Linked DNA regions of Callithrix jacchus. The protein of the gene in region 2 interacts with the protein of the main gene of each other region in a pairwise test. Links are inferred from orthologs where the notes say so. Each region holds a gene or a part of one and is shown on either strand. Other genes may lie near its edges.

Region 1 (15,693 bases), on a different chromosome or scaffold from region 2:
GATCGTCAAAAAGAGAACCAAGAAGTTCATCCGGCACCAGTCAGACCGATATGTCAAAATTAAGCGTAACTGGCGGAAACCCAGAGGTATTGACAACAGGGTTCGTAGAAGGTTCAAGGGCCAGATCTTAATGCCTAACATTGGTTATGGGAGCAATAAGAAGACAAAGCACATGCTGCCCAGTGGCTTCCGGAAGTTCCTGGTCCACAACGTCAAGGAGCTGGAAGTGCTGCTGATGTGCAACAAATCTTACTGTGCTGAGATCGCTCACAATGTTTCCTCCAAGAACCGCAAAGCCATCGTGGAAAGAGCTGCCCAGCTGGCCATCAGAGTCACCAACCCCAATGCCAGGCTGCGCAGTGAAGAAAATGAATAGACAGCTTATGTGCACGTTTTGTGTTTAAATAAAACTGCCATCTTCCTTAAAAAAAATAAATAAATAAATAAATAAATAAATAAATAAATAAAATGTCTATAAATAGCTGTATGTCTAAAATTAAAGTCTAGGAAATCTCTCATACTTCCAAAAACAATTTCTGAATGACTGAAATACAGCAAACTCATTGCCACAAGTGGCTGAAATGTATCTTATCTACATGTAAAACATCACAAAGGCCAAAACTCTTTCATTAAAAACCTATTTAAATATTTACCTAAAAGTTATGCAAATAATAAAACTATTTGCCCATCTGCTCAAAAAAATTGTACATAAACCTGGCAACATTTTATCCAGATAAAAAGTATTTCTACACAAGAAGCTGATGCCCACAAAAGAATCATAACTTGCCAAAAGTCATAAATATCTAATTCTAGGAATTAGCTATAAAGACTCAAATTCTCGGGCCAGGCGCAGTGGCTCACGCCTGTAATCCCAGCACTTTGGGAGGCCAAGGCAAGTGGATCACGAGGTCAAGAGATCGAGACCATCCTGGTCAACATGGTGAAACCCCGTCTCTACTAAAAATACAAAAAAAATTAGCTGGGCTTGGTGGTGCATGCCTGTAATCCCAGCTACTCGGGAGGCTGAGGCAGGAGAATTGCCTGAACCCAGGAGGCGGAGGTTGCGGTGAGCCAAGATCGCGCCATTGCACTCCAGCCTGGGTAACAAGAGCGAAACTCCATCTCAAAAAAACAAAAACAAAAACAAAGACTCAAATTCTCGTCCTGCGTCTACCTCATATATTTTTCCCATCCTGAGTGTTTTTATTTTTCTGAAGTTCTAACAATCCCAGACTAAAAAACACAGAACTTTCCGTGGCTAGTAAGGTTCCCAAGCAAGGCCGGTGTCCTTAAATCTCAGTTTAAAGTAGGGAAAGAAAAGTAAGAAAAGAAAGGGCATAATAGTCTCCAGTCTTCTGGGAATTTCATTCCTTCAAACTAGTGGTTCACAAATTGTGAGTTGCAGGAGCCTACAGAATTATGATAATACCTCAAATCCATTTGTACAACCATCTTTATCTGTACACCAAATACACAATAAATTTCATAAATATGTCCTTGTTTTTCAACTATATGTAATTAACAAAAATCAAAATTCATTTAAAAGCTAAAATAAAGGACTAAGGAGGAAGAAAAAAAGTTATTGGGAGTATTATCACTTCTGAATTATAAGCATTCTCCAGACATCTCAAACAACCTGTCTCTGATTTAAACATTTTTTCTTCCAAATTACCAAGGATAATGCCAAAATGAACCCAGACTACCCAGAGTGCTGTCTGTCTACACAGATAGAAGGAAAATAAACTGATGTCTTTAATCCAGCAACTCAACATCTAGGGATTTATTACTAATGAGTTCAAAATTTTTTTCTGACCCGGGTGCAGTAGCTCACACCTGAGCTACTTTGGGAAGCCGAGGCGCCTGAATCACCTGAGGTCGGGAGTTCAAGACCAGCCTGACCAACATAGAGCAACCCTATCTCTACTAAAAATAAAAAAATGTAGCAGGGCGTGGTGGCACATGCCTGTAATCCTAGCTACCTGGCAGGCTAAAGTAGGAGAATCGCTTGAACCTGGGAAGCAGAGGTTGCAATGAGCTGAGGTGGCACCACTGTACTCAGGCCTGGGTGACAGAGCCAGACTCCTTCTAAACAAAAAAAAAAAATTGGCCAGGCATGGTAGCATGTGTCTATAGTTCCAGCTACATGCAAAACTGAGGCAGGAGGACTGCTTGAGCCCAGGAGGTCAAGGCCACAGTGAACTATGATCATGCCATGGCACTCCAACATGAGTGACAGAGCAAGACCCTGTCCCTTTAAAAAAAAAAAAAAAAGATAATATACAAGTATTTAATAGCATAAGCATATATTATATGTTAAGGAGGAAAAAGCAAATACAGAACAGCAAACAGAGAACAATAGTAAATTGAAAAATATATAATATACTGCAAAAGATCTGGAATGATAAATAATATTTAAAGGGTGAACAGTAATCTTTAGGTAGTGATATCAAGGGTAACAAATTGTTTCTGTGGGTCTATATTTTGTAAATATTCCATAATAAACAGCATTTTTGCATCAAAATATATTTGCATATATAAATATATTCATAGATAATATAAAAGTGTCTATTATCTATAAAACATATTAAAATACATTTTACATATACTTTTTTTTTCTTTGTAGAGATGGGGTGTTGGCAGGGTGTCTTTTTCTTTAGTAGAGCAAAGAGAAAAAAATATATAAAAATTTATATATTTTTACATAATAAAAATATACAAATATGCATATGCATTTTGTATAATAAAAATATATAAATATTTATATATATTCTTTATTTTGTAGAGATGGGGTATTACTACATTGCCCAGGTTGGTCTCAAATTCCTGGCCTCAAGTGATGGTCCCGCCTCAGCCTCCCAAAGTGCTAGGATTACAGGCCTGAGCCACCCTGCCCAGCCTACATTCATTTTTAAATGTGAATAGTTTTAAAAAGAGTTGAAATAAATTCACTTTCTATTCTAGTTGTCAAATCATAGCATTTGTACCCTGAACCATGAATCACATGTTGACACAAGGTACTATTTTAAGTACTATTTGATTTTAAGTAATAAGAATAACAGGGAAAAGGTAAACACACTTAAATATCCATCAAATTTTATCATCTAAATTATTCAAGGCATTCAAAAACATGTAAACAACATAATCATTTATACAAATGAAAATACCTAATATGTAAAAAATACTTGCCAAGTTTCTCCCAGTTTTCTTGAGTATATTAAAATCTTAAACATCAAGATAAAATATATTTTCCCTCTCCTGCTGTTCTAACCTTAGAGTACTTCTTATCTGTCATCTCAATTTGACATACGATAGCCATATGTAATAATGAGATAGCTTTCATGATAAAAGTCAAAAGGCCCAAGGTGAGAACCATATCTCCTACATTTTCTTCCTCCTCCTCCTCATTATTTTTAGAAATGGGGTCCCATTGTGTTGCCCATGCTGGTCTCAAATTCCTGGCACAAGTAATCCTCCTGCCTTGGCCTCCCAAAGTGCAGGGATTACAGGTATGAGCCACCCTGCCCTGCCCCTCCTACACTTTCAACTCTTAGACCTGGACAAGTTAATTTACCTCTCTGAATCTCACTTTTCCTAGCTGTAACAGAGAATAATATTTATCTCATAGGGTTTTTGTGAAGACTGAATCAAAGAACACATGCAAAGTGCTCAGTACAGTACCTGAAGAATAGAAGGTACTCAATAAATGGTGACTGTTAAAGGCACAATGCAATAGTTGTTAAGTCAGAAAACCTGTCAAGGGTCTGGAAAACTATACGACCCTGGGCAAGCTACTTACTCTGTATGGACCTCAGTTTCATCCTCTGCAAATTTTTTAAATATATAATACCTATCTTACAGGTTTGTGCCAAGAATTAAACAAACTGTATACAAAAATCATCTTGCATATATTAGGTGCTCAATAAATTATAGCTAGCATCATTATTAGCTACAACAATAAACATCCGAGCACAGGGATTAGCAGTTTACAAAATACTTTTACGTATAAGAGTGTATGTAATTCAATGAATTATTTAAATAAGTGTATTTAACTCTCAAATTAGGGGTAAATTTCAGGAAAAAAGTAAAATACAGGCAATCTCTTCTAAGCACACAAAAATAAAAGGCCATTTTGTTAGTCTGAAAGTAAAAATGTATTCCCTAAAACTGGATCTGCTTTAATTTTTTTTTTTAAGTTCAAACTCATTTCCCTTTTATTAAAGTACAGGTTACCATTACATGGCTTGGTACTCAATAAAGGAAAACTTGTTCAAATAAGGTAATATGTTATCATCAGTATTTCCAGGTGACTGCTTACACTCAAGTAGCAATATCAATAAATCCTTGGGAAGCCCATCCACGGGGTTTAAACTTTGTCAAGGCCGAGTTCCTCTGGAGTGGAGATTCCCAGTTCATTTAAAGTTGGTCTAAGTTCCTGGATGACATTGGGGTAGATTTCCTTATGAGGTCCTGCTTTGTCCTTAACAGCCTCTAGGATGCGAACTGTACTAGCAAAATCATTTAACCGTCTGTCTCCCCTCAAAGCAGCATCAATGATTTTAGGCTCTGGAACCAGATCATAGGTAACAAGTGTGTTTATCCCTTTACGCAATTCCCAGGCATCTATATCGGGCTTGTTGAAGTATGTTACCCAGCAAGCATCAAACTCCTCATCTGTCTCTTTTGACCCATGGGAATAATAGCGAACTGACTGGATAGCCGCGGTGGGGCCGGGGGTCGGGGCGTAGTGCAGGAGGCCTCGAGGGCCGGCCCGGGCGGTTGCAGCCACAGCGCAGCGGCGGAGAGCGGCTCCCAGCACTACCGCGATGGCGCCCGCAACCAGAGGATGAGAGAGAGAAGCCGGTGTGAGCTCGCGGGTGGCTTGCGGGCTGGCGGGGGCCGGACTCGCGCCTGCTTTAATATTTTTAAGGTCCAAATAAATCAAAAAGAGTTGAAAGGGGAAATGTTTGTTTTTTCTGCCCCTGGAAGAAGAGGAAAAAAATTCTATTCTAAGTCCTTAGAAAGAAAATGAGATAAAATTGTTCAACTTTTTAAAATGACTTCACATTTCTTTACACAACTAAAATGTCTTTAATACAAGAACACTTTGAAAGCTCTCATTTCCTGTACTATATCTACTTTGTGCAGAAGCAGTAAATCACTATACTCAAAGACCAGACTATTGAGGCTGACTACCTTGATTCAAATCCTGGCTCCAATCAGCTGTGTGACCTTAGGCAAGTTTTAACTTCTCCCTACCTGTTTCCAACATCTGGGAAATGTAGATTCCACTTGGGATTGCTGTAAGGATTAAATGAGTTGATACACTTAAAAATGTTCGTTCATAAGAGAGCCTAGCAACTGGAGGGCACATCACAAATGTTTACCATTTTTGTTACTGTTTTATTACCGCCACCTTAATATGTTTAGATCTATGTCAACAAATTATTTGCCAATTTGTGGACAATTTCAACAAACGACTTTACCTGAAATGAGACTGTTTAAGAAGCACCTTAATGTGGTTTCCACTGCCAGTAAAGATAGCAATTGCTGCTAGAAGGGATTTTAATGCAAAGGTAAGTAAAGCCAATCCCTTTCTTACATACAGAGAAGTAATATCTTTGCTTGCTAATAGAAGTTCAGCACCAAGAGTTTTATAATTTAGGCATGGCACACACCAACCCAGCAGACACAATATTCTCCAACTTAAGCTCCGTATTACTCGACTACACTCCTTCAAAGAAAAAAGCTCAGACTGCTCTAATACTTTATGCTTTAAATACAAACTATACTGCCAAACAAACAAACTATATTTGTCAACAGAATGTCATAAGGATTAAGATATAGTAAATGGAACTGTATGAAAGTTAAGTAAGTACTAAACTATTTTATGTATGTGCTTGAGAAAATTGCAGCAATGTATTTCTCCAATCTCAAATTGTTGCTCTCTAACTCCAAAACTAGTGTTCTGCCCACAGCAAACCAGGGACCAGAGTAACAAGACACAAAATCAGATTAAAGCTGCCATACCACTAAATCATTTCCTACTGGAAATGTACTCTTTCTTAAAATGTCCATGCAACAGATAACGCAGATATTACATGTGTTATTCAAGAGGCCTACATCAACAGTTTAAGGGCTGACATCCTGGAAATAGACTAATTCAAGACCAGAAAAATGTCTCTACAGTTTGACCAAACAATGCCACACCAATTACCAACTGTTCATAATGCTAGACTGGGTATAGAAAAATGCTGAATAACTTCACATTCAAGAACATGGTAACCCAAAATAACAGAAGTCAAGTACACAGGGCCACATTTCAACTGCAGCTGATGGCTGGAATGTCTACCTGGCTCACTCTAAAACTGAAAGTTGAGTTCCAGCATCAATCAGGGATATGGCCATGAATATGGCTACGCCGGCCAAATCAAACCACCGGTCATTGGCATCCTTCAGTGAGCCAGATCCTACTGAATGCTAACCCCTGACCTGGTGAATAAAAGGGAGGCTGGTAGTCAAAACAGATTCTTCCAGTTGCAGCTCCATTTTGAGATTCCTCATTGATGTAACTAGTGAAATCAAATTTGGGTAAATGTGAAGAATTTCTCAAATATAGGTGGAAAACTTACTTGAGTACGCCTCACAGATCTAGTCACTTTTTTGTTTAGTAAGATAAAAATATAGTATTCATTAATTTGTTTTGTTCATAAAATCGTTTCGGGCCTGTGATGATGGTTAGAGGGATAACTAGGACTTTTCTTCAGGATCTCCACAGATCTTATCCACTAGCATGTAAAATTGGAGTTAGATCTGCTCCTCCTTTCAGAGATAAGCCAAAGATATGTAAGATACTATGCAAGAGTATTTTCAGCATTTGAGAAGGAACTTGCTAGAGGAAAAAAGGATCTGCACAGATCTCAAACCTTTACTAAGCCAGTTTCTCCACTAGCATGTAAATCTGGGAGTTAGATCTGCTCCTCCTTTCAAAGAGAAGCCAAAGATAAACAAGATACTATGTAAGAGTTTTTTCAGCATTTCAGAAGGAATGTGCTAAAGGAAAAAACCTAACAATGTAACTGAACTGTTTAACACCTAAATCGGGAATCACCACAGAGCCGGTGTTGAAAATCAAATTCATTAAAGCCAGATTTTTCTGTTTTGAGTTTCTGGGTTGGGAAACTGGTCTGTGTCTATACAAACTCATCTTCTAATGAGACGAAATAGTGGGATTCCTCAGTAACGTCCCTCCTTCCCACTCCCTATCTTTTTCAGAACTTCCATGCATTAAAGACATCGTCTGCCAGTCCTACAACTTCTCCCCGCTTGCCGGGATTCAGAAGGATTCCACAACTTTTCAGCCTTCTGTGACTTTTAACGCTACTCTACAGCTAATCACTTTTAATGACCCCACTCTGGAATACACTCCTCGTCTTTACACTTTGTCCCGGCAGCAATCGACTGAACTGTCCCCCAACGCCGGCCACCTCGGACGACCTCAGACCTTCGGAGTAGTTTGTCCGCGGGCCAGGCCCCGCAAGCTCCGATTCCTGCCCCACCTCCATGAGCCGCCCGCCCCGCAAGCCCTCCTCAACCTCAACCCCCAAATCCCAAACGCAGCACCACTGGGCTTCCGGTTCTCTTGTGCGCGCCCCGGATCCACCACACACTGCGCCCCTTCTCCCTGGGCTCGCTCTCGGGACCCTAACCCCTTCCGGAGCGGGGCCGAGCAACGCTCTCAGCAGCTGAACTAAGGCTCCCGAGGCCGCGCGTTCCCCTCAGCAGGCCCCGCCTGGGCCTTTCGGCTCGGCTGCCCTCCAAGGCATCCCTGACCCAGCCGTACTGACGCGGAAGAGTGGGGCAGCACGAGCTCAGGGCCCGGCACTTACTCGGGAAGGTAGGTGGAGGAAAAGGAGCTCCACTTGTGTAGAGCGTAGGAGAGAAGCCGGCACTCAGGCGCCGCAGCGACAGCTCCGCCAGCCGCCATCTTGTCAGCACCGTAGCGGCCGCCACCGTCCGCTGGCCACGAACGGGAGGAGGGAGGGGGCGTGGCCTGCTCTTAAAGGGGCCGCCGCCCGCCCAGGCCGGCCGCGCTCCTTGCCCCGGCATCGTTACCCGGGCCCAGCGCGGGGCCAGGGTCCTATCTCAGGGTTTCCTACGTCGCTTGCCCCTTGACCGCTGAGCGACACTGGGGCTGAGGTGGGAGCGCTTTCCAAGCTTTTTCCTGGGGCTTGGAGGGGAATGGCGCAAAGGATTTTTCTTACAAGCAGAGATAAGGACTAGCCAAGATGATTACAAACAGAAACACGTTGTAGTTATGGAGCAGGAAGGGAAAACGAGGAGACCAAGTTGGAAAAGGGACGCCTGTGCGCCTTTGGAAGCCGCCGCCCTAGCCAATGTATAAATCCTTTACGAAAACAACACTGAAGGGAGCTGGAGGGCAGTAGCTAACGTGCTCTACTCCTGGAGTGGTCCTGGTTTTAAATGTCCCCGCCTTCCAGAGTCAGATGGAAACAGGAAAAGGAAATGGTCCTGTGTCCTCCTACCCTGTTAGGTTTTCAGTCTGTGATGCCCTTCATTGTAAACATATCTTGTGAACCACGTCCTACTAATCTTGTAGCATGAGGTTTGCTCGGGAATGACGTTCACCCACAGACCTGAAAAGTCCTTACAGAGTTGGGAGGCTGCGTGTCATCGTTTTTCCAGTTGGCAAATCTGCCCACTTTGAACTGACAAAAATATGGCCTCAAAGTTGAGAGAAAGAGAAGTTCAGGAAAAAGACGATTCCTTCCTCACAGAGGGAACAGCAGCCCTGAAAACCATATGGGCATCACACAACTTCTTAAAACAAAAGGAGCACTTGGTCTAAATATCTGGCAGCTTTAGATCAGGTTCCCATTAAGTACCTGTTCATATTTTTTCCTTGGCTTAGCCACTGCAGTTACCAAAGTTATATGTTGCTTATTGTCCAAGAGGTTGGTCTTCTGAAAACCTGAACGGTATCGTCATCTCCACCTGAAGAGTGGAAATATTTAAGCAAAGAGTTTCTCGGGAAATGACCAAGTGACTCAAAACACCTCAATAATTGTATTCTCTTTCCATTGTAATCATTAACCTGCCGAAACTCCCTCCAGTCCTTTCCTGACTTCCTACTTCTATAGATGAAAATTTAATAGTGGCCTAAACGAGGATATCAGATCAAAAAAGACCAAATAGAAAGGTCAGGCAGGGCACAGTGGCTCACACCTGTAATCCCAGCACCTTGGGAGGCCCAGGTGGGAGGATCACTTGAGCCCAGGAGTTTGAGACCAGACTGGGCAATGTAGCAAGATCCCCATCTCTAAAATATCAAAAATAAAATAAGAAAGGCCACAAGTATGTTCACCTTTCAAATTACATGTGCTTGGCCAGGTGCAGTGGCTCACACCTGTAATCCCAGCACTTTGGGAGGCTGAGGCAAGTGGATCACCTGAGGTCAGGAGTTCGAGACCACTGTGGCCAATATGGTGAAACCCCATCTCTACTAAAAATACAAAATTAGCCGTGTGTGGTGACATACACCTGTAATTCTAGCTACTTGGAAGGCTGAGGCACAACAATCACTTGAACCTAGGAGGCAGAGGTTGCAGCCAGCCAAGGTCACACCCCTGAACTCCAGAGTCAGACTCTGTCTCAGAAAAATAAATAAAATTACATGTGCTCTGTGTGTTGCAGCAGGTTGGAAAAGTATGTGTTCCTTAAGGGAACGCTGTAGCCCTAGTGACTTGGGTTGGGAGCTGCCACAGCGAGTAGGAAAGGGACAAAGAATGTTAGCCCCAGAGTTGATACAGTGGTTATCTTTGGAGAAAAGAGACACTTTAAAGGAGAGGAATTAACTCACTCCAATTCTTTTGGGCCCCAGGTTTTTACCTTAGTGTAAGTCAAGCCCTTGTTCTTTTCCAGACATAGTTCCCGAGCAATCTTTTTTAAAAACACATATAAACTAGTTCTTCTTAAGCTTAAATCCTATTGGTGACTTTCAGCCCCCTTCTAAACTGTTTAACAGAGGCCCTTCATAACCTGCCTTGATTTTTCTCTCCAGCTTCCCTTGCCCCCTCCCCCCATCTTTCTCCTTTGCCCTTTTGACATCTGCCCTCTAAACCAGTGCACTGAATTTGTTCCCATAGAGTCCTTGTTCTTTCTAGCCTCCAGGGCTTATTCTAAGCCAGGCATGGAATATTCTTTCCTATACTTTACCTGGCTAACTCCAGTAGACTATTTTTTCCTGGAAGTTTTTTTGAGACAGAGTCTCACTCTGACTCTGTCACCCAGGATAGAGTACAGTGGCATGAACATGGCTCATTACAGCCTTGACCTCCTGGGTTTAAAGGATCATCCTGCCTCATCCTCCCATGTAGCTGGGGCCAGAGACACACATCACTACACCAACCTACTTTTTAAATTTTTTTGTAGACACAGGGTTTCACTCTGTTGTCCAGGCTGGTCTTGAACTCCTGGGCTCAAGTTATCCTCCTGCGTCAGCCCAGCCTCCCAAAGTGCTGGGATTACAGGTGTGAGCCACTGCATCTGGCTGAAAATCTTTCTTCATCACCTGCTATGGGGTTAGGTGACATTTTTCTTCATTTTTTTTTTTTCCTGTGCAAACTGACACAGGATAGGTGACATTTTTTACATTTCTCTTGGCACTCTAAGTTTCCCTCTTTATCTTAGCACACATCACAATATATTTTAATTTCCTCTTTATTTCTCTTTCTCTCTAGATGATAGCTCCCATGAAGATAAGACTCATACATATCTTGTTCACAGTTGTCTCCTCAGTTCTGTTGATGTGTCTAGCAAATAGATGTTCAGTGAATATTTATCAAAGAATGAATGAACAGTGCTAAAAGAGAACTTGAATTAGTGACTTCTGAGTTGCAAAGGAAAAAGAATGCCAGCACTTCTCAGACTACAAACATGTATCCCTCAGGTATGATTCCTACTCAGAAGGTGAAGACCCAGGATAGCGTGGCTTTCCTGCATCACAAATTTTATAAATGGTAAAATAATTTAAAGCATTTCTATGTTAACATAAATACAGACAGCTATATTATGATACTGAGCTGAAAATTTGTTTAAATGTTAAGAAAAGAACTTTATCTGAGAAATGCAAATCCTTTTAAATTATGAGGCCCAGAGAGGCATTAAAGTGAAATGGCTGTGAAATACACAGCTTTTGAGCCGTGTATTTGTCTCTTGAAACTGCTTACTATTGCCGCAGAAGCTAAACAGTAACCTACTAATTAATGCTGCACCAGACATTATAACCCACATCCTGTAGTTTAATAATGTATAGCCAATCAGTAGCTTATTTTATTTTAAGGTCAATTATTGGTAAATAACTCAAGATCATCTTTCCCTTTAAAATCCACTTGTAAAGATCTTTCTCTTTGAAAATCCACTTGTAACTGCTGCTACTAGAGTTTATAATCAGGGCAACCTGAATCTATGTTCCAGGGTTGCAGTCCTCAAGCCTGGGCCACATAAACTCCCAACTTATATTAATTTTGCCTCAGCTTCTTTCTTATAGGTCAAACACCTAGAGTAAATCAGCAGGATTCAGTGACTCCCCAGCCACCTGGTGTTTCTCTCTGAAAGCAGCACTTGATACCAGCGTGAACTCGCCTCCTTCAGAAGTGCCTTCAGGTGTTTCAGGTGAGATCTCCTAAATTTGGACCTCCCGCTCTTTGGTTGAAGGTCTACACTTTATTCCGGCTGTTTTTCAAACCCTCTCTCTTTTTTTTTTTTTTTTCAGAATGAGGGCTTCTTTCTCTGTCTTTGGACAGGAGATTTGGGTAAAGAGCTCTGCAGGGAACTGCCTTTTTTCCCCCTTTGTCTCACAGCAGAGGTGCAAGTCATAGTTTTTCTGCCTCTGCCTCAGAACCAGGGGTTTGGGTCAAGTTTTTTTCACCTCCGTCTCACAGCAGAGGTTCAAGTGAAAGAACTGGCAGATGGTACCAGTGGTTTCATTTTAGACAGTATGCTTTTGAGATAGCAGCTGTCTTCAATTTCTTGAAAATTCTGAATTTGCCTTTAATTTTGACCAATTCCTGTTAGTTCCTAACTAAAAAGCATACCCCTTTTGCTCTTCCAGATGGGCATAATATGAGGGTCTGGTCCCTTGTACCTTGAGGACTCTGCCATCTGACAATTACAGACAATCCAGTTGTCCTCATCCTTGAGGACTTTGCTGCCATCTGACAATTAGAGACAGTCCAAGACATGTCACACTTTGATCCTAAACACATTTCTGACTTTGGTCACTTTTGAAAAGTTTCTGAATTATGTGAAATCAATAATAAGAATATTCAAAACCCAAACACTCTTTTTAGAAATACCAGCTGGAATTACATATACGATTTATGGGGTACTCTTGTAGCACCTGGGAAAGTGGACCCCTCTAACCTGGAATGATGATAGGCAACAATGACCAAAAATGGGGATCTTTTGATATACCTTAAGTAATTTATTTGTGCGTACCAATGGAAAGAGCTGGTTTTACAACCAGACATATAAATAGGAGACTTACTTCCAGTGGCACCTAAAAAATCCTGAAAGAAAAAAATCGCCTTTATTCCAGAGGTAAACAAGGGGATATTTGAAACGATTTAAAAAGACTTCACAGGCTTTCTGCTTTTCATCCGCAGATCCTCCTTTTCCTTCCAGCCCTGTGATCTGAACTCATCTCTTTCTGCCTCTTCCCTTGACTTCCATATATCTCTTAGGCAGAGATTTTTTAAATCTCACAACACACACACTTCCTTCTCTCAGGGGAAATGAATTTAAATTTAGAGCAGAAGGAACAAACAGAACAACAACAGAACGGGAATAAGACTGCTGAGACTATAAAAATGCAGATCCAACAAAATTTTTTCTAACCAGGTCTAGTGAATGACACTGTGATATGGTCTGGCTCCATGTCCCCAACCAAATGTCATCTTGAATCGCAATCTCCGTGTGTCAGGGGAGAAGCCTGGTAAGAGGTGATTGGATCGTAGGGCAGTTTCCTCCATGCTGTTCTCATGATAGTGAGGGAGTTCTCATGAGATCTGATGGTTTAAAGTGTTTGGCAGTTACTTTTCTGGCTTTCTCTCTCCTGCTGCCTTGTGAAGAAGGTGCTTGCTTCCCCTTCCCCTTCCACCGTGATTGTAAGTTTCCTGAGGCCTCCCCAGCCATGCGGAACTGTGAGTCAATTAAACCTCTTTGATTTATAAATTACTCAGTCTCGGTAGTTCTTTATAGCAGTGTGGGAATGAACTAATACACACTGATTTATTGAGCCACTATCAGAAAGTACCCTTTAAATCTTATGTCTTTAAAATGCTAACCTTCAGGGAATTAGTGAAGCAGCGTTCCAGATGAGATCAGATCTAAAAAAAGTTAAAATCCTTAAATGCTTAAACTGCCTGCTTTGAATTCCCTGCAAGATTTACCAAAAAACAAACACACAAACAAAAAAAAAAAAATGAAAACAAATACAAAACTCTCTATATAATGGCTAGGGTTTAGTGCTTTCACCACTGTAACCTGGGCTCAATTCCTGGCCAGGGCGCTAGTCCCTTTTGTTTTAAATTATTGTATGATTCTTGACCTTTTGGGATACCGTTTGTTGTTGAGCCTTATCCCTTCCATGGACAACTTTTGATTTCCTGTCTTTATCCATTTGTGGGACATACAGAGCATTTGGGCCTTCGTGAGTACCCAGCTAAGAAGCTAAGATCGTGGAAATCATGCCAGATAGCAATGTGAGTTGTACTTCACTTGTGGATAGTGAAACTTTCCTTTCTGTGAGCTGTCTTTGGTGTGATTCTGGCTGTTGTGAGGACTGTGTTGTACCTCCTTTGAAGATGCCCCATGCATCTTTGGTTAAGTCATAACCTTGATTGAGGCTCATTGATTTTGGTGAGTCATTTGGAAGGGTACCTTTGTTTTTTTTTTAAAGTTCAAAAACCAGGAATAATAGCTATTTGTGCTGGATAATACCTGATAATGAGAGATTTGAAAAGTTTTTGTTTTTTTAATTTTACTTTAAACTGTGGGATACATGTGCACAACGTGCAGGTTTGTTGCATAAGTATACATGTGCCATGGTGGTATGCTGCACCTACCAAATGTCATCTTGGTTTTAAGCCCCACATTCATTAGGTATTTGTCCTAATGCTCTCCTTCCCCTTGGCCCCACCCTGACTGCCTCTGGTGTGTGATATTTCCCTCCCTGTGTCCATGTATTCTCATTGTTCAACTCCAACTTATGAAGGAGAACATGTGGTGTTTGGTTTTCTGTTCCTGTGTCAGTTTGCTCAGAATGATGTCTTCCAGATACATCCATGTCCCTGCAAAAGGACATGAATTCATCATTTTTTGTGGCTACATAGTAATCCATGGTGTATATGTGCCACATTTTCATTATCCAGTCTACCATTGATGGGTATTTGGGTTGGTTTGAAGTTTTTGCTATTGTAAATAGTGCTGCAGCAAACACATATGTCACATGTCTTTATATCAGAATGATATATCACCCTTTCAGTATATACCCAGTGATGAGGTTACTGGGTCAAATGGTATCATCTATGGTTCTAGATCCTTGAGGAATCGCCACACTGTCTTCCACAATAGCTGAACTAATGTACACTCCCACCAACAGTGTAAAAGCATTCCTATTTCTCCACAGCATCGCCAGCATCTGTTGTTTCCTGACTTTTTAATAATTGCCTTTCTAACTGGGATGAGATAGTATCTTATTGTGGTTTTGATTTGCATTTCTCTGATGACCAGTGATGATGAGCTTTTTTTCATAGGTTTGTTGGCCACATAAATGTCTTCTTTTAGAAGTGTCTGTTCATATCCTTTGCCCACTTTTTGATGGGGTTGTTTTTTTCTTGTAAATTTGTTTGTTTCTTGTAGATTCTGGATATTAGAACTTTGACACGTGGGTAGATTGCAAAATTTTTTCCCAGTCTGTAGGTTGACTGTTCACTCTCATGATAGTTTCTTTTACTGTGCAGAAACTCTTTAATTAGATCCAATTTCTCAATTTTTGCTTTTGTTGCCATTGCTTTGGTGTTTTAGTCATGAATTCTTTGCCCATGCTTATGTCCTGAATGGTATTGCCTAGGTTTTCTTCTAGGGTTTTTATGGTTTTGGGTTTTACATTTAAATATTTAATCTATCTTGAGTTAATTTTTATATAAGGTGTAAAGAAGGGATCCAGTTTTCCCAACACCGTTTATTAAATAGGGAATCCTTTCCCCATTGCTTGTTTTTGTCAGGTTTGTTGAAGATCAGATGGTTGTGGATGTGTAGTGTTCCATTGGTCTATATATCTGTTTTGGTACCAGTACCATGCTGTTTTGGTTACTGTAGCCTTGTAGTTTGAAGTCAGGTAGCATGATCCCTCCAGATTTGTTCTTCTTGCTTAGGATCGTCTTGGCTATACAGGTTCTTTTTTGTTTCCGTACAAAATTTAAAGTAGTTTTTTTCTAACTCAGTGAAGAAACTCAATGATAGCTTAATGGGAATGGCATTGAATCTATAAATTACTTTGGGCAGTATGGCCATTTTCACGATACTAATTCTTCTTATCCATGAGCATGGATTTTTTTCCATTTATTTGTGTCCTCTCATTTCATTGAGCAATGGTTTGTAGTTCTCCTTGAA
Region 2 (14,901 bases):
TTCTCTCTTTTTGTATTCTTTTAACTTTTGTGAAAATTTGGAATAAACTTTATTTGGGCTGATAGTACTCACTTGCCTTCTGTGTTATTAATGAATTTAAATGTAATGATAATGTTATACATGGGGACAACCGGAACCCTAACTTTGCTTTCCTTTTGACAAGACACAATGAATTTATTTGTTTAAACTCAAACAGGGCTTTACTAACTACAAAGCATTATTTTTACACATTATTTTAAAAGTGTAAAATTTATATTCAGGTTGTCTTTTAACTTTATTACCTTAATTAACAGAGTTAGATGTTTTCTGTTATAGAGGAATAAAATGGCAAGTGGGAAGAGACCTTAAAAATAATTTAATGGAAATCCCCTCATTTTTAAGATAGTGATCAAGACTGTAGAAGCAGTGGTGCTGGCTTGGTTTGTTTTAATGTTTGTTTTAGACTGGAAGAATTGAGAGCAACTGACTCACCAGTACTGCTCCTCTCCCATTATTCTAGAGCTAGATCTTTTAAAATATATCTGTGAGGTCCTACAGAAATAATTTATCTTACTTTCAGCTAAGTTGTGTATTTGAATATTTGGAAGGAGGTAGTTAAATTGTCATGTTGGGTTGACAGTAGACTTATTCCAATGATACTGCCCTTGTTCAAGTTGTATCTAGAACGTGACTGTTTGAAATAACTGTCAAAGGGTATTCAAGAGAAATTCTCAACTGTGTATAATCCTTTATTCTTTGGAGGAGGAATTGTTTTTTCCCATGAGTAAATCAGAAGTTAAAGAATTTACTTTCATAAGAAACATTTCTTAAGCAAAAATATACTGTATTTTCCCTTGTTCGCTTTTTATAACAGAAAAACTCTTTTCCTTCCACCTAAAATTATTTACAAGCTAAATCTAGATGATGATTATTAAACAACGAGGCTAGAAATTGCAACTTGCGGGGTAAAAAATAAATTATTTTGCAAACAACTTTCTTAATGTGTTTTCTAATGTAGCGTTGAAGATATGTCTAACACTATTTCAAAAATCCTTGAGACAGTGACAACATCTCAGAAATAAAATTTGTGTATGGCTGATTATATTGAAGGGGGACAGCATTCACTCAGACATGTATGTTAGTATTATTGATTAAAAAATTACTCCTGTTATTTTATATTTAGGCTTTCATGTTTTTTCTTTTGCCATTTGTTTCACTCTTTTTAGCTAGAAATTCAGCTTGTCACTATAGTCTGCTTTGAAAAACAGCTCTAATGCTACTTTTTTTCTTTCTTTTTAGGTATTGCTTTCACTGACCTACCGGTAAGACTTTTTATAAAAAGCAATTTTCCATTTTTAATTAAAGGAAGTACAAAGAAACTGATACTGGGCATATTTAGGAAGTTTAGAATACAGTCTTATTGATATTTATTATGTTTGTATGCAAAGAAGAGATCTTTTCTCTAACCACCTTGGATATAGACCTTCAGAAATTAAGTTCCAGCTTGCACTGGATTCATTGTATAAAGGAAAATAAATCAGAATTGATTTACGTTATCTTTTTAAATGTCACCATTCATTCATTTGAAATGTATTTCCTTGGACTCTTCAGCAGAGGGCTGTATAGCGATTCTAATTTATTCATCCAAGCTATATAGAGGCCTACCATGTGGCAGGTTAAGTGCTTGGAATATATAATTCAACAAAACAGGTAGTAATGGTCTCTACCTTCTTGGACTTCATAGTAGCCAAGCTGTGAAAGTTAGATAATAAGCAGTATATGAAAAACAAGCATATTAGAACATATTTTAAGGGTGTTAAGTATCCTTTGGAAAGAAAGGGAAAAAAGAGAATGGGAATACCAACAGTAGGACACAAGGTTGTACAAATTGCTCCCCTTTGCTCAAGGTGAGACTTGAGTTAAGGCTTTTGGAGGAGTTGAGGGAGTCAGCCAAATGGATATGTAGAACAAGAGTTTTCCAGGCAGAGAGAAGTTAGGGAAAAGGTGCTCAGGCAGGAGCACACTGGGCTTGTTTGGAGAAGGGCATGAAGTGTGGTAGAGAGGAGTGAGGAGGGCAGAGCGTATGTAGTAGTAGATGATCAGAGATAATGATGGGGGTTGGGGGTAAGCTATTAATAGATCATCTGGGCCACCTGAGCAAGCCATTGAGAGTGAAATTCACTCTGAGTGAAATACAAAGACATTGCAGACTTTTGTTTGTCATGATATTACTTCACTTTTTACAGGATCACTGTGATTGCTTAGTTGAAAAATAGGCAATATGGATGTAAGGGTAGAAGCAAGGAGACCTGTGAGGAGACTATTGCAGAAATTCAAGCAAGGGATAACAGTCACTTTCTTCAGTAGAGGTTTGATTCCACGTATCTTATTTACCAAACCCAAGGCAGTATCAGTTGTAATCTGCATCATCTTTGACACCAAGGGGGAAAAAACTAACAAACTATGACATAATGCCTCCCTTATCACTTAGTATTTTTATTTGATACTCACGGAACAATCTCTTAGGGTTATTTAAACATAGATGTTTAATCTGTGTCTCTTTTTAGATGTTACACATGTAAAAACGGAAAAATAAATTGCAAAAAAAAAGCAAAAATAAATTGATTAAGGTCCTTCATGTTCAGAGTCTGACCTTTTAAATCAATTATTTTTAGTCTATGCCATGATTTTCTTTTGTCTCACTCTGTCACCCAGTTTGATGTACAGTGGTGTGATCTTAGCTTACTGCAACTTTGGCTCACTGCAGCCTCTGCTGCCCAGGCTCAAGGAATCCTCCCACCTCAGCCTCCCAAGTAACTGGGACCACGGGCACACCCCAGCATGCCCGACTGATTTTTTGTCTTTTTGGTAGAGACGGGTTTTCGCCAAGTTGCCCAGGCTGATGCCTATGATTTTCTATGTGATACTATCTTCTCTGCTGTCAAGTACATTTTTTAAGATTTCTCTGTTATGTCTCTGGGATTTTCCTTCAGTTTGCTGATTACATCGTGCACATTTGATACTGTCACTTTCATGATAGTAATCGATATCACAAAAATGAAAATTTCATCAGGAAAAGCAATTCAGTCCCAAAAGTTTTTCAGTGAGCTCATTGTTTAACAAATTTGCACCTGTGCAGGCAGTGACCGCTGTGATCATGACAGCTGCCTGACCATAGTAAGGTGTCATCAATTATAAAATGCATTCCAGTTTTCAGAGATGCATTGAGAGAGATGATGGAAGATTCAGAGGCAGTGAATATATCTTTTAAGAAAATCCTAGGGAAAAAAAGCAGAAGAAATCAAAATTATAATAGAAAATAATTTTAAGACAAGGAATATTTGAACCCTACCGATCAAAAGTACTCACCAAGAAGCATTATTTGGCTCTGGGAAACAGGTGGGAGAATTGCTTGAGGCCAAGAGTTCAAAACACCACTTTGGGCAATATGAGACCTCTCCTCTTTAAAAATCCAACTCAAAACCAAGAGAAATGGCTGATGGATTGGATCTGAAAATTACATAAGATCTGAGAATTGACCGTTGTACTTAGCAGAGTAGAGGTCATTGGTGACCTGGAGAAGAAAATTTCAGCAGTATGTTGGAGAGAGACATCCTGATTGGAATGGATTTTAGGATGAGGTGAGTTATAGACAGTGGACAACTCTGGAGGACTTTGGCCACAATGAGGAGAAAAGAAAGGGAGTAGGCTGGGTGCAGTGGCTTACGGCTATGATCCCAGCATGTTGGGAGGCCGAGGTGGCAGATCACAAGGTCAGGAGTTCAAGACCAGCCTGGCCAACATAGTGAAACCCTATCTCTACTAAAAATACAAAAATTAGTCAGACATGGTAGTGCGTGCCTGTAGTCTCAGCTACTCAGGAGGCTGAGGCAGGAGAGTCACTTGAACCTGGGAGGTGGTGGTTGCAGTGAGCTGAGATCACACCACTGCACTCCAGCTTGGGCAACAAGAGTAGCACTTCGTCTCAAAAAAAAAGAAAAGGAAAAAAAGAAATGGAATAGTAGCCAGTGGTGGAAGTTGGGGCAGTAGACAAAAAAGGAGATTGAGCATGCTGATGAAAATTACTTGCACGCAAAAAGTTGATATAGCGTAGAAAGAGGTAGACAGGTGTATGAGATAAATGAGGGGATAGGCTTTTGAGAAGAGCATTGTAGGGACAGGCAGAGTGTGTAGTACAGATTCTTATTGGTGGGTTGATTTGGTCTTTAACTGTTAAGAGACTCTGGTGAGAATGCTGTTAAGTTTCATTTGGCGTTGGTTAAAGGGTTTAGTGGCTGGTTTTTGTTTTTTCCTGTGTTGTGGCACTAAGCATGTAAAACCAACTTGTCAACCTGAGCTTTTGTTGTTGTTAGCTTTCATTTTCTCTTTCATAGATAGAGTGGTGATCATTTGGGAAAAACTTGGTTGGTTGTAGATGTGTTATTTTCTCTCCCACTTTGAATCACCAGTTGTTTTCTCCCTCGGTTAACCAGTGATGTGGAACTTCGTTATAACAGTGGTCAGAGTGGTGGTTTTAGGTTTCCTTTTAGTATAGTGTTTTTCATTTTCAATACTGTAAATCTTCTCAACTTCCACAGGCTCCATACCACTTTTCTACTTAGGAAAAAGTTAATCTTTCTTTTAAAGGAAGCATCAAGGAAATGTTTATATCATATTTTCTGTACCTGTGATTTCTCACTAGCTACCTGTACCATCGACTCCTTAAGAGAAAGTATATTTGCAGAAAAACCAGTTTACCTAGATTGTTCTGCACCTGTTATGGAACATAAGTGTTTATACAGCTTTGAAAACCTTAGATTTTTTCCAGAATAGTCTTTTTCCCCTCAGCTTTTCCTCACCAGTTTGAGAAATGACATTAAATATAATTCAGTTTGGGATTGGGTATATATTTCTTTAGTTAGAGTAGCTGTTCTCATTTTAAGTGATGCTATTTTCCTATTCTAGTCACTGACTTGAAGTCTCCTTTTTATGGATACATTATTTGTATAGCATTTTTAAAAATTTTTTTTAATTATTTTTAAATGAGGAGGAGGAAGGAGAGGGGAAGAGAGTGAGACACACACACACACACACACACACACACACACATGCAGGGGGTTGGGGGGCTGGAGAGAGAGAAATACCTGTATAGTCATTTTTATTAGAAGAAATCTAATATAGACCAAAGCTGTGCTATTGAGAATATGAATTTATAGAGTATACATTTAGCTTTTAAAAAGTTTCTAGGTTGAAAATATCTTTTGCAAGTTAATAGAAATGTTTTCCTATTCTTTTCATAAAGGACCTATTTTGTCTATGTACATAAGCTGGAGTAATTTTTTCAGATTTAGAAACATTTTTCTGGAAAACATTATTACATCTAAATCTGTAGTGAAGATGTGTCTGCTGAGTGGATGAACCTTGAAAACATGCTGAATAAATCAGTCATAGGCCGGGTGCGTGGCTCGTGCCTGTAATCTTAGCAATTTGGGAGGCCAAGGTGGGCAGATTACCTGAGGTCGGGAGTTCAAGACTAGCCTCACCAAAATGAAACCCTGTCTCTACTAAAAATACAAAATTAGCCGGGCGTGATCGCGCATGCCTGTAATCCCAGCTACTTGAGAGGCTGAGACAGGACAATCACTTGAACCCAGGAGGCAGAGGTTGCAGTGAGCCGACATCACGCCATTGCACTCCAGTTTGGGCAGCAAGAGCAAAACTCCAATTCAAAAGAAAAAAAAGCCAGTCATAAAAGATCACATATTTTGTAGTTCCATTTATGCAAAATGTCTAGAATGGGCAAATTCATGGAGTCAGAAAGTAGATTAGTGGTTGCCACAAGTTAGGGGACTGGGGGGATGGGGAAATGGGAATTGTCCTCTGATGGGTACTGGGTTTCTTTCTGAGGTGATGTGATTGTTATACAGTTAAATTATGATAGTTGCACAGTTCTGTCAACATACTAAAAAATATTGAAGGCTGTTGCTTTTTAAAATCTGTGATATAGCAAGTTAAGGACTAGTCCTTAATCCTCTTCCCCCAAATTCTCCAGTTGTATAAATGCTATAAAAATTATAGTTACTTTTCAGTGAGCCAAAACTGACTTAATATTACTAAAAGTTTTTTTAATCTATCTCAGAGTATAGAAGTACAGTATTAAATATTTAAATGAGAAATGTTTATATATACAGAAATGTACAAAAGAGAAGTTCTTCATGATCCCAGTCTCTTTGGCTATAATGTTTAACTTGAATATATATCTTTCTAAATACATACAAGCCAGTATGTTCATTTTTTAAATGTTTATATAAAAGATAGGGTCATACTATATACATTATGTTATACCTTGCTCTCTTCATTTAGTAATGTGTATAGGACATCTTTCTGTGTCCATATATACATTTTTCATTCTGTTTTTCCTGCTTTATGTTCTCTTATTGTATTAACATACTACCACAATTGATCAATTATAAAATGTACATTTTTTCATATTTTAATATTTCTGAAATGAGAATGCACTTTAGGGCCAGGTGTGGTGGCTCACGCCTGTCATGCCAGCATTTTGGGAGGCTGAGACAGGCGGATCACGAGGTTAGGAGTTCACTACCAACCTGGCCACCATGGTGAAACCCTGTCTCTACTAAAAATACAAAAAATTCACTGGGTGTGATGGCGTGTGCCTGTAATCCCAACTACTCTGGAGGCTGAGGCAGGAGAATCGCTTGAACCCAAGAGGTATAGGTTGTGATGAGCAGAGATCAGGCTGTTGCACTCCAGCCTGGGCAACAGAGAAAGACTCCATCTGAAAAAAAAAAAAAGAAGAAGAAGAAGAAGGAAAAGAAAATACACTTTAGAATCAGTGGCTGGTTAGAGTTTAATTTGCGTTGTGTTTTCCTACACATAAAACAGTGATATTTGTTGTTATTAGAATCTGAGATTTGATGAATGTGGTATAATGTCACCTATCTGTGGATATTTTAAAATTTTGTTTGCATTACAAATAATGCTACAAGATATGTCTTTGCACATGCTTGCTTTGAATAAACTCAAGTGAAATTACTGTCGATTTTAATAGATTTTTCCACATTTCTTTATTAAAAGATTATGTCACTTTACATTTCTGTGTGCAATAGATGAGGTTATTTTCCCAACCCTTATCAACATTGGTTATTCTCAGCCTTCCAAGTGTTAATCTGATGTTCAAAAAAGTTTTTAATCTTGCATTTTAAATTTAATTGATTTTATTTTAAGTACACATTAAAAAATCTGCATCTAAAGACTTGAATGCAATTAAGCGTGTCTATATGTTGTCATTTTTATTTCTTCTACAAATTGTCTACATATTCATTGCCATTTTTAAGAATTTGAACTGGTAGTCTTTGTCCTCCTGAAGTGTGAGAATGTTTTCTATATTTGGAATACACATTTTGCCATATGCATGGTACATTTTTTTTTTCTAGAAAGTCATTTGTCTTTGCCATTTGTGGCATGTTTTGTCATAGGGAATTTTAAATTTTTATGAAAGTTTTATCAGATAATTCATGAATGTTGATTGTCTTTGATAGTGTTGACAGAATTATTTTTCTAAATTTGTTAGACAATTTAGATGAGCAAATCATTTTGAAAGTGTCTTTATTTAGACAATACTGAATATCATAATTGTAAACTTTGCTTAATGATAAAATTGCCTTTCACTCTGTTGATTTCTTTATTGTTTTTGGCTTATATGCTTTTGTTTTAAAGTATCTCATAACTCTAGTGGGTTTTAAGGCAAAGAATACTATGCTAGAAGTAGAGAAATGTGAGGTTCTTTTTTTTTCAAGTGCTGCCATTAGCAAGCCGTGTGCTTTTAAATTGTTTCTGTAAAATCCTTTTCTTGTTTTCTTGTTTTTTTTTTTTTTTTTGAGATGGAGTCTCACTCTGTCACCCAAGCTGGAGTGCAATGGCATCATCTCAGCCCACTACAACTTCCACCTTCTGGGTTCAAGCAATTCTCCTGCATTAGCGTCCCAAGTGGCTGGGATTACAGGCGTCCGACACCACATCCAGCTAATTTTTGTATTTTTAGTAGAAATGGGGGGAGTTTTACCATGTTGGCCAGGATGTCTCGATCACTTCGCCTTGTGATCCGCCCGCCTCAGCCTCTCAAAGTGCTGGGATTACAGGCGTGAGCCACCGCGCCTGACCTATTTTTTTCTTTTTTTGAGTTGAAGTCTCGCTGTTGTTGCCCAGGCTGGAGTACAATAGTGTGATGTTGGCTTACTGCAACTTCTGCCTCCTGAATTCAAGTGATTCTTCTGCCTCAGCCTCCCAAGCAGCTGGGATTACAGGTGCATGCCACCACACCTCACTAATTTTTGTATTTTTAGTACAGACAAGGTTTCCCCATCTTGTTCAGGCTGGTCTTATACTCCTGACCTCAGGTGATCCACCCACCTCAGCCTCCCATGGTGCTGGGATTATAGGCATGAACCACCACACCTGGCCTGTTTCTATAAAGTCTTTAGGTCTCCATTTTCTCATTGGCGAAATGGGAACGCTGTACTGTCTCACCTGTTTTTAGCTTAAAAGTCTATAAACCTGTTAGGTTTGTAAGTCTGTAAACCTTTAGCTCTGTTGATTATTAAGAATCTACATTTGCATACTTTGCTTTAACCATTTATTTCCATAATTCAGTAGTACTTTGTTGATGTTTGGCCGCAATATTTATTTTGTTTCTTATTTGTTCTGCTTGATCAAATAGTTGTTTTAAAACATATCCTCTTTAGCATTTTATTGTGAAAACTATTTAACATCTTTATTCACACCGAAATTATCCACTCTTGATCTTTACCTTGTTTTGTACTGAAAATACTTATTATAACTATTAAATCAAAGATATAAGACATAAATACAGAAAACAAAAATATGGTAGGATTTGGAGTTACAAGAGGAAAAAATCCGTCATGGATGTGGTATAGACAAACTTGTGTGTCAACTCCATTTCTGTCACTTGTTAGCAGAATGACCATGAGCAAGTTATTTAACCTTGAATCCTCATTTTCTCTATCTTTGTAGTAGAAATAATAAGAGTGACCTCACAGAACTATTATGATTAAACCCTGGCATTTAGTAGACACTTGGAAACTCATTCTCCCTTTAGATGTAACAACCAATTAGTGACACAGCCAAAAGAATGACTCCTCTATTTTTTTGTATACTTGAGGTTACCACCTTTTCATCTTGAGTAACCTTGAAATCCTGGAGTGTACGTGAATGCATTTCTGAGTTTAGGTATTTAAATTAATCCTTTTCCTCCCTTGAAATATGTACACTTGAGTTTTGTTTTTTCTAATTTAATATAGAGAATCCCCACTCTTCATGGCACTGTGTTTTGCTTGTAGTTAAGGTCTTATCCCCTTCCCTTTGTAAAGTTAGGCATCCCAAATGTGCAGAATGAAAATAGTAAATTTAAGCTATTACATGCCAGACTAGCTGAGATTGTACTTTTATGGTAACTAGCTTTAACATGCAATTTATAGAAATGTATCATATAAAATCTGGGGTAAACCTGAGTTATATGTTTATATTTGAATTTCTATAACTACTATATGACATAATCTTTAGAACAAGAATTACATCTCTATATATTAGTAGCATAGTGCCACATGTTATAATACAACGTTGTCCCTGAATCAGTAAAATAGAGATCTTGGGTTGCTATGTTTTTTCTTGATGATTAAATTGCAGGAAGTGATATTTTTTCATCTAACATACAATGTATTTTAGATCATTTGTTTTAGCCTTCTAATATTTTGACTGGGATTTTAAAATATAAAGTAAATTTATAGTTCTGCTCTTTTAAAGATAACATTAAAATAATATTAAATCTAACATAAAATGGATAGCTGTTTAATGAAATATGTTATCTTACAGCCAAATTTGTATCCTACTGTGGGGCTTCAGACACCAGGAGAAGTGGTTGATGCCAATTTTGGTCAACATCCTTTCGTGTTTGATATAGAAGACTATATGCGAGAGTGGAGAACCAAAATCCAGGCACAGATAGACCGATTTCCTATCGGAGATCGAGAAGGAGAATGGCAGACCATGATACAAAAGTAAGAGTGAAGAAATTTGAATTGACATTATTCAGAATATATTTTTTATAAGACATTTATTCTTTTGGTATTCATGGAAACTTTTTAATCAGTTTATATACTAATATCTCTACAATGTTACTGATTTTATTCTCTCAACAAAAAGTAATTTACTCCACTAAACAAATTAAAAACAATTGATGACACATATAGAATTGTATTTCTGTCTGAATTAATTGGATGGAGGAAATAAAATGATAGGTCATCTAGGCTAGGTTAATTCATTTGCTTTTCTTAGTAATAGGATTTCTGTACGTTACACAATTTAACTTTTAATAATGTTAATGCAAAAGATAAAGTTGAGAGATAATCTAGATTTTATAATTAGGATCTGTGGTTTTTGGACATGAACTTGGCCATGCCCAAGCTCTTAATATTTGAACTAACAGCAGTATAAGTATAGACTTAAATTTTTAATAAATACCATTAAATTTAAAAAGTCCTTTTCACTATTATAATCCAAGCCAAGAAAATAGCAGACTTTCAGATGCAATTGGTCTAACACATGTCATCTTAAATGTCCTTATAATTGCTTTGAATATTCTTAACTTTAAAATTGTCATAAAATTTTGGGGGTATTTTGTTAGAAAAGGCAGTGATTAAGAGACATGATGATGACTGTGAAAGCACACTTCTTCCCTAGAACTACAATCATTTGTATTACAGAGCTTGAACACTCGTTTTTCTGTCCAGCTCAGAGAACAGACAACCCTGATGCAGAATCCCATGGTCACCATGAGCTGAAGCTCTAGGTTGGGTTGTTCTGGCGCCACATTGTTTTAATGCTCTCACTGAGCGTCATGGCAGGGTCATAGAAAACATTGATTTTAATCTTACAGCCAGGATCCTCCCACTTCTTCACTGAATTGTTACTTACCATGAACTCTTGAGAAGTCCATTCTAAAAGGTCCCCTCCCTCTTAAATTAATTTGAACAATTGGATAAAATAAGATGCAGATTTGTTTCTTAGACTTTTTTCCCTGCTTCCTCTCCACTTCTCCTCAGTCTCCTCCTGGTGAACCACTGCTTCCCACCATTTTCTAACTAGCCTGTGTAGTGTCAGATGGAGGCAGGTTTAAGAGTTGAATGTTTGGAGATAACAGATACTTGGGTTAATATTGTTGGATCACCAGTTTTTCTAACCACATTTTGTGGGTGGTAGATACATGTTTTGACTACCTGGTACCTTTTAAAAAGATTATTGTCTTGGAAATATGTCACTTACATGTAAATCATATTTGATAAATCTCTTGGGCAAACCATAGTAATTGATTTAGACTAGAAGGCTGGTTCTTCCTTTAACTAGGCTTTATAGACATTGTTCTGGATTCACCTTAGTATTCTGTACTTACTTTGTGATCCCATCTTATTTAACTGGTATGTAAAGAAAATTATCAAACTTTGGAACGTTAACATTTAATCTTTTACTTTAAAGTTGATTATTTTACAGAATGCCAGCAATTACTGGAATAAGTCATATAATAAAAGCAAAATGAAAATTACGGTTAGTAGGGCTGAATAATAGGATAGGAAGGGAACTGGGGGTAATGATAATCTAAGAATCAAAAAAAAGGTCACTTAATGTCCTTGATTCTCAAGTAATATTTATTTTAGGAGGGTACTCTCAATATGGGATTTCCGTTATCTTTTTGAAAATACTACATGAATACAACAAATGATGTTTTTCAAAAGCTTACTTTAAAGGTGAGGTTCTTAACAACACCTTGTTTCAAGAAAATAGGTTCGTTTTTGTAACACCAGAGTAGACCTTGTTTATGTAAATTGTAGTATGAAGCATGTATTCTCTTCACTAAAAGATGTATGTTTCTTCTGTTTTATTTTAAGAATGGTTTCATCTTATTTAGTCCACCATGGGTACTGTGCCACAGCAGAGGCCTTTGCCAGATCTACAGACCAGACCGTTCTAGAAGAATTAGCTTCCATTAAGAATAGACAAAGTAAGGACACTGTGGTGCATGCTAACATTTGTTTTCAGATTATAGATTGGGTTGCTTTAATTTTTAGAAATTTTATTTTCTTAATTTAAATAATTTCAAGTATATTTAAAATGGATGCCTCTGAATTTTATTTTCACTGACATTTTTGAAGATCAGCCTTAAAAATTCACATAGGTCTGTGTCAGAATTCTAATTCTAGAGAGATTTTGCAGAAATTTTCGTAAGGAATGTCTTTACCATTTTTTTCTTAAAAGAATGTTTTCTTAAACTTTCAGAAAAAAACTAAAATTTTTTAAAAATAAGTAGTTCTGATTAGTTGGAGGAGATAATATGTGAAAGAAAGGTAAGTATCTTTGAATTTAAGTTGCTATCTAATATAAGATAGTATTGATCATACGTATTTATTATTTAGATCCTAGTGCTGGCCTGTGTGGCCAAAGATAAAACAGGCCCTATAATAACAATGGCAGGTTAGCATAACTGTTCCATGGTTAGCCATCCTAAAATTGGTGCTGTATTCCATCAGGGTTGGTATGACTTGACAAGAGGGGGATGAAAACAAAACAGATGGGTGAAATAGGTGGATGAAAACAACCGTTTCATAGATCAAATCGCTGTAATAGCACTGATTACATTGTATTGTAGTTAATTGTGTGCTATCCTTTTCTACTATTTTAATAAGCTCTGTTGAACAGAGATCACTTAACTCATTTTGTATCCTCATCTAATTTAAAAAAGGTCAGATCAAGTGAATGCTCAGTGAATCTCTGTTAAATTGGAATCTTATTCAAAAGCTAGCATTTTTTTAGTCTTTTGTTCAGAAAGTCATATTTGATAAAGCATTTTATTATCTCTTTAAAACATAGTCTTTTTAATCTGTGTTTGAAACTTCAGTATTGCATAATATGTGTTTTAATTATATTACTTGTGTGTTTGTGATTTTTTTTTTTTAATTTGTGACAGTATGTTTTTTTCTAATTTTTTAGTATGTCTGAAATGTTTCCTGGATTGCCTAATGGAAACTATGATGTTAGAAAAAGAAATAGAAATTAATCATAATTTATTTGCAGATTTTTACTAACTCCCTTTTCTGAGGATCCACTAAGTTTATGTTTTACCTACCTTTGTAAAAGTTAATCGTTTGCTTTCTATTACTGAATAGGAATTCAGAAATTGGTATTAGCAGGAAGAATGGGAGAAGCCATTGAAACAACACAACAGTTATACCCAAGTTTACTTGAAAGAAATCCTAATCTTCTTTTCACCTTAAAGTGAGTTTGCATAATAAAATGCTATATTTGTTATGTGTTATAAATATTTGTCATATTTTATATAATAAAAGATATATTTCATGCTTTTGTAATTTTAATTTTCCCCCTTTACAAATATATGTAATTTTGTAATGTACATTTATTTATTTACTTATTTTTATTGCATTTTAGGTTTTGGGGTACATGTGCAGAACATGCAAGATAGTTGCATAGGTACATACATGGCAGTGTGTTTTGCTGCCTTCACCCCTTCACCCACATTTGGCATTTCTCCCCATGCTATCCCTCCCCAGCTCCCCCACCACTGTCCCTCCCCTATTCCCCCCAATAGACCCCAGTGTGTAGTACTCCCTTCCCTGTGTCCATGTGTTCTCATTGTTCATCACCCGCCTATAAGTGAGAATATGCGCTGTTTCATTTTCTGTTGTGTCAGTTTGCTGAGAATGATGTTCTCCAGATTCATCCATGTCCCTACAAAGGACACGAACTCATCATTTTTGATTGCTGCATATATTCCATGGTGTATATGTGCCACATTTTCCCAGTCCAGTCTATCATCAGTGGGCATTTGGGTTGGTTCCAGGTCTTTGCTATTGTAAACAGTGCTGCAATGAACATTTGTGTGCATGTGTCCTTATAGTAGAATGATTTATAGTCCTTTGGATATATACCCAGTAATGGGATTGCTGGGTCAAATGGAATTTCTATTTCTAAGTCCTTGAGGAATCGCCACACTGTCTTCCACAATGGTTGAACTAATTTACACTCCCACCAACAGTGTAAAAGTGTTCCTATTTCTCCACATCCTCTCCAGCATCTGTTGTCTCCAGGATTTTTTAATGATCGCCATTCTAACAGGCGTGAGATGGTATCTCAATGTGGTTTTGATTTGCATCTCTCTAATGACCAGTGATGATGAGCATTTTTTCATATGTTTCTTGGCCTTATGTATGTCTTCTTTTGTAAATTGTCTGTTCATATCCTTTGCCCATTTTTGGATGGGCTTGTTTGTTTTTTCTTGTAAATCTGTTTGAGTTCTTTGTAAATTCTGGATATCAGCCCTTTGTCAGATGGGTAAACTGCAAAAATTTTTTCCCATTCTGTTGGTTTCTGATTCACTCTAGTGACTGTTTCTTTTGCCGTGCAGAAGCTGTGGAGTTTGATTAGGTCCCAATTTGTCTATTTTGGCTTTTGTTGCCAATGCTTTTTTTGTTTTGGTCATGAAGTCCTTGCCTACTCCTATGTCCTGAATGGCTTTGCCTAGATTTTCTTCTAGGGTTTTTATGGTGCCACATCTTATGTTTAAGTCTTTAATCCATCTGGAGTTAATTTTAGTTTAAGGTGTCAGAAAGGGGTCCAGTTTCTGCTTTCTACACATGGCTAGCCAGTTTTCCCAACACCATTTATTAAACAGGGAATCCTTTCCCCATTGCTTTTTTTTGTCAAGTTTATCAAAGATTGTATGGTTGTAGATATGCTGTGTTGCCTCTGATGCCTCTGTTCTGTTCCATTGGTCTATATCTCTGTTTTGGTACCAGTACCATGCTGTTTTGA

Evidence for each region.
Region 1: the proteins of RANBP9 (region 2) and MKLN1 interact in a two-hybrid assay, tested with the Homo sapiens proteins (2 studies listed by BioGRID). The link is inferred for Callithrix jacchus from reciprocal best matches to the Homo sapiens genes RANBP9 and MKLN1.

What each region holds. Positions count from the first base shown.
Region 1 is NC_133512.1:115,911,302-115,926,994, forward strand, and holds the start of MKLN1 (muskelin), read right to left. Parts: upstream 7,997-15,693; 5' UTR 7,985-7,996; coding exon 7,887-7,984; intron 5,270-7,886; exon of another isoform or gene 5,257-5,269; intron 5,014-5,256; exon of another isoform or gene 4,230-5,013; intron 470-4,229; exon of another isoform or gene 377-469; coding exon of another isoform or gene 1-376. Other genes in the region: large ribosomal subunit protein eL32, read left to right, coding at 1-376. UniProt on the Homo sapiens protein: Component of the CTLH E3 ubiquitin-protein ligase complex that selectively accepts ubiquitin from UBE2H and mediates ubiquitination and subsequent proteasomal degradation of the transcription factor HBP1.
Region 2 is NC_133505.1:17,014,013-17,028,913, forward strand, and holds part of RANBP9 (ran-binding protein 9), read left to right. Parts: intron 1-1,278; coding exon 1,279-1,301; intron 1,302-9,894; coding exon 9,895-10,079; intron 10,080-11,963; coding exon 11,964-12,076; intron 12,077-13,238; coding exon 13,239-13,347; intron 13,348-14,901. UniProt on the Homo sapiens protein: May act as scaffolding protein, and as adapter protein to couple membrane receptors to intracellular signaling pathways. Acts as a mediator of cell spreading and actin cytoskeleton rearrangement.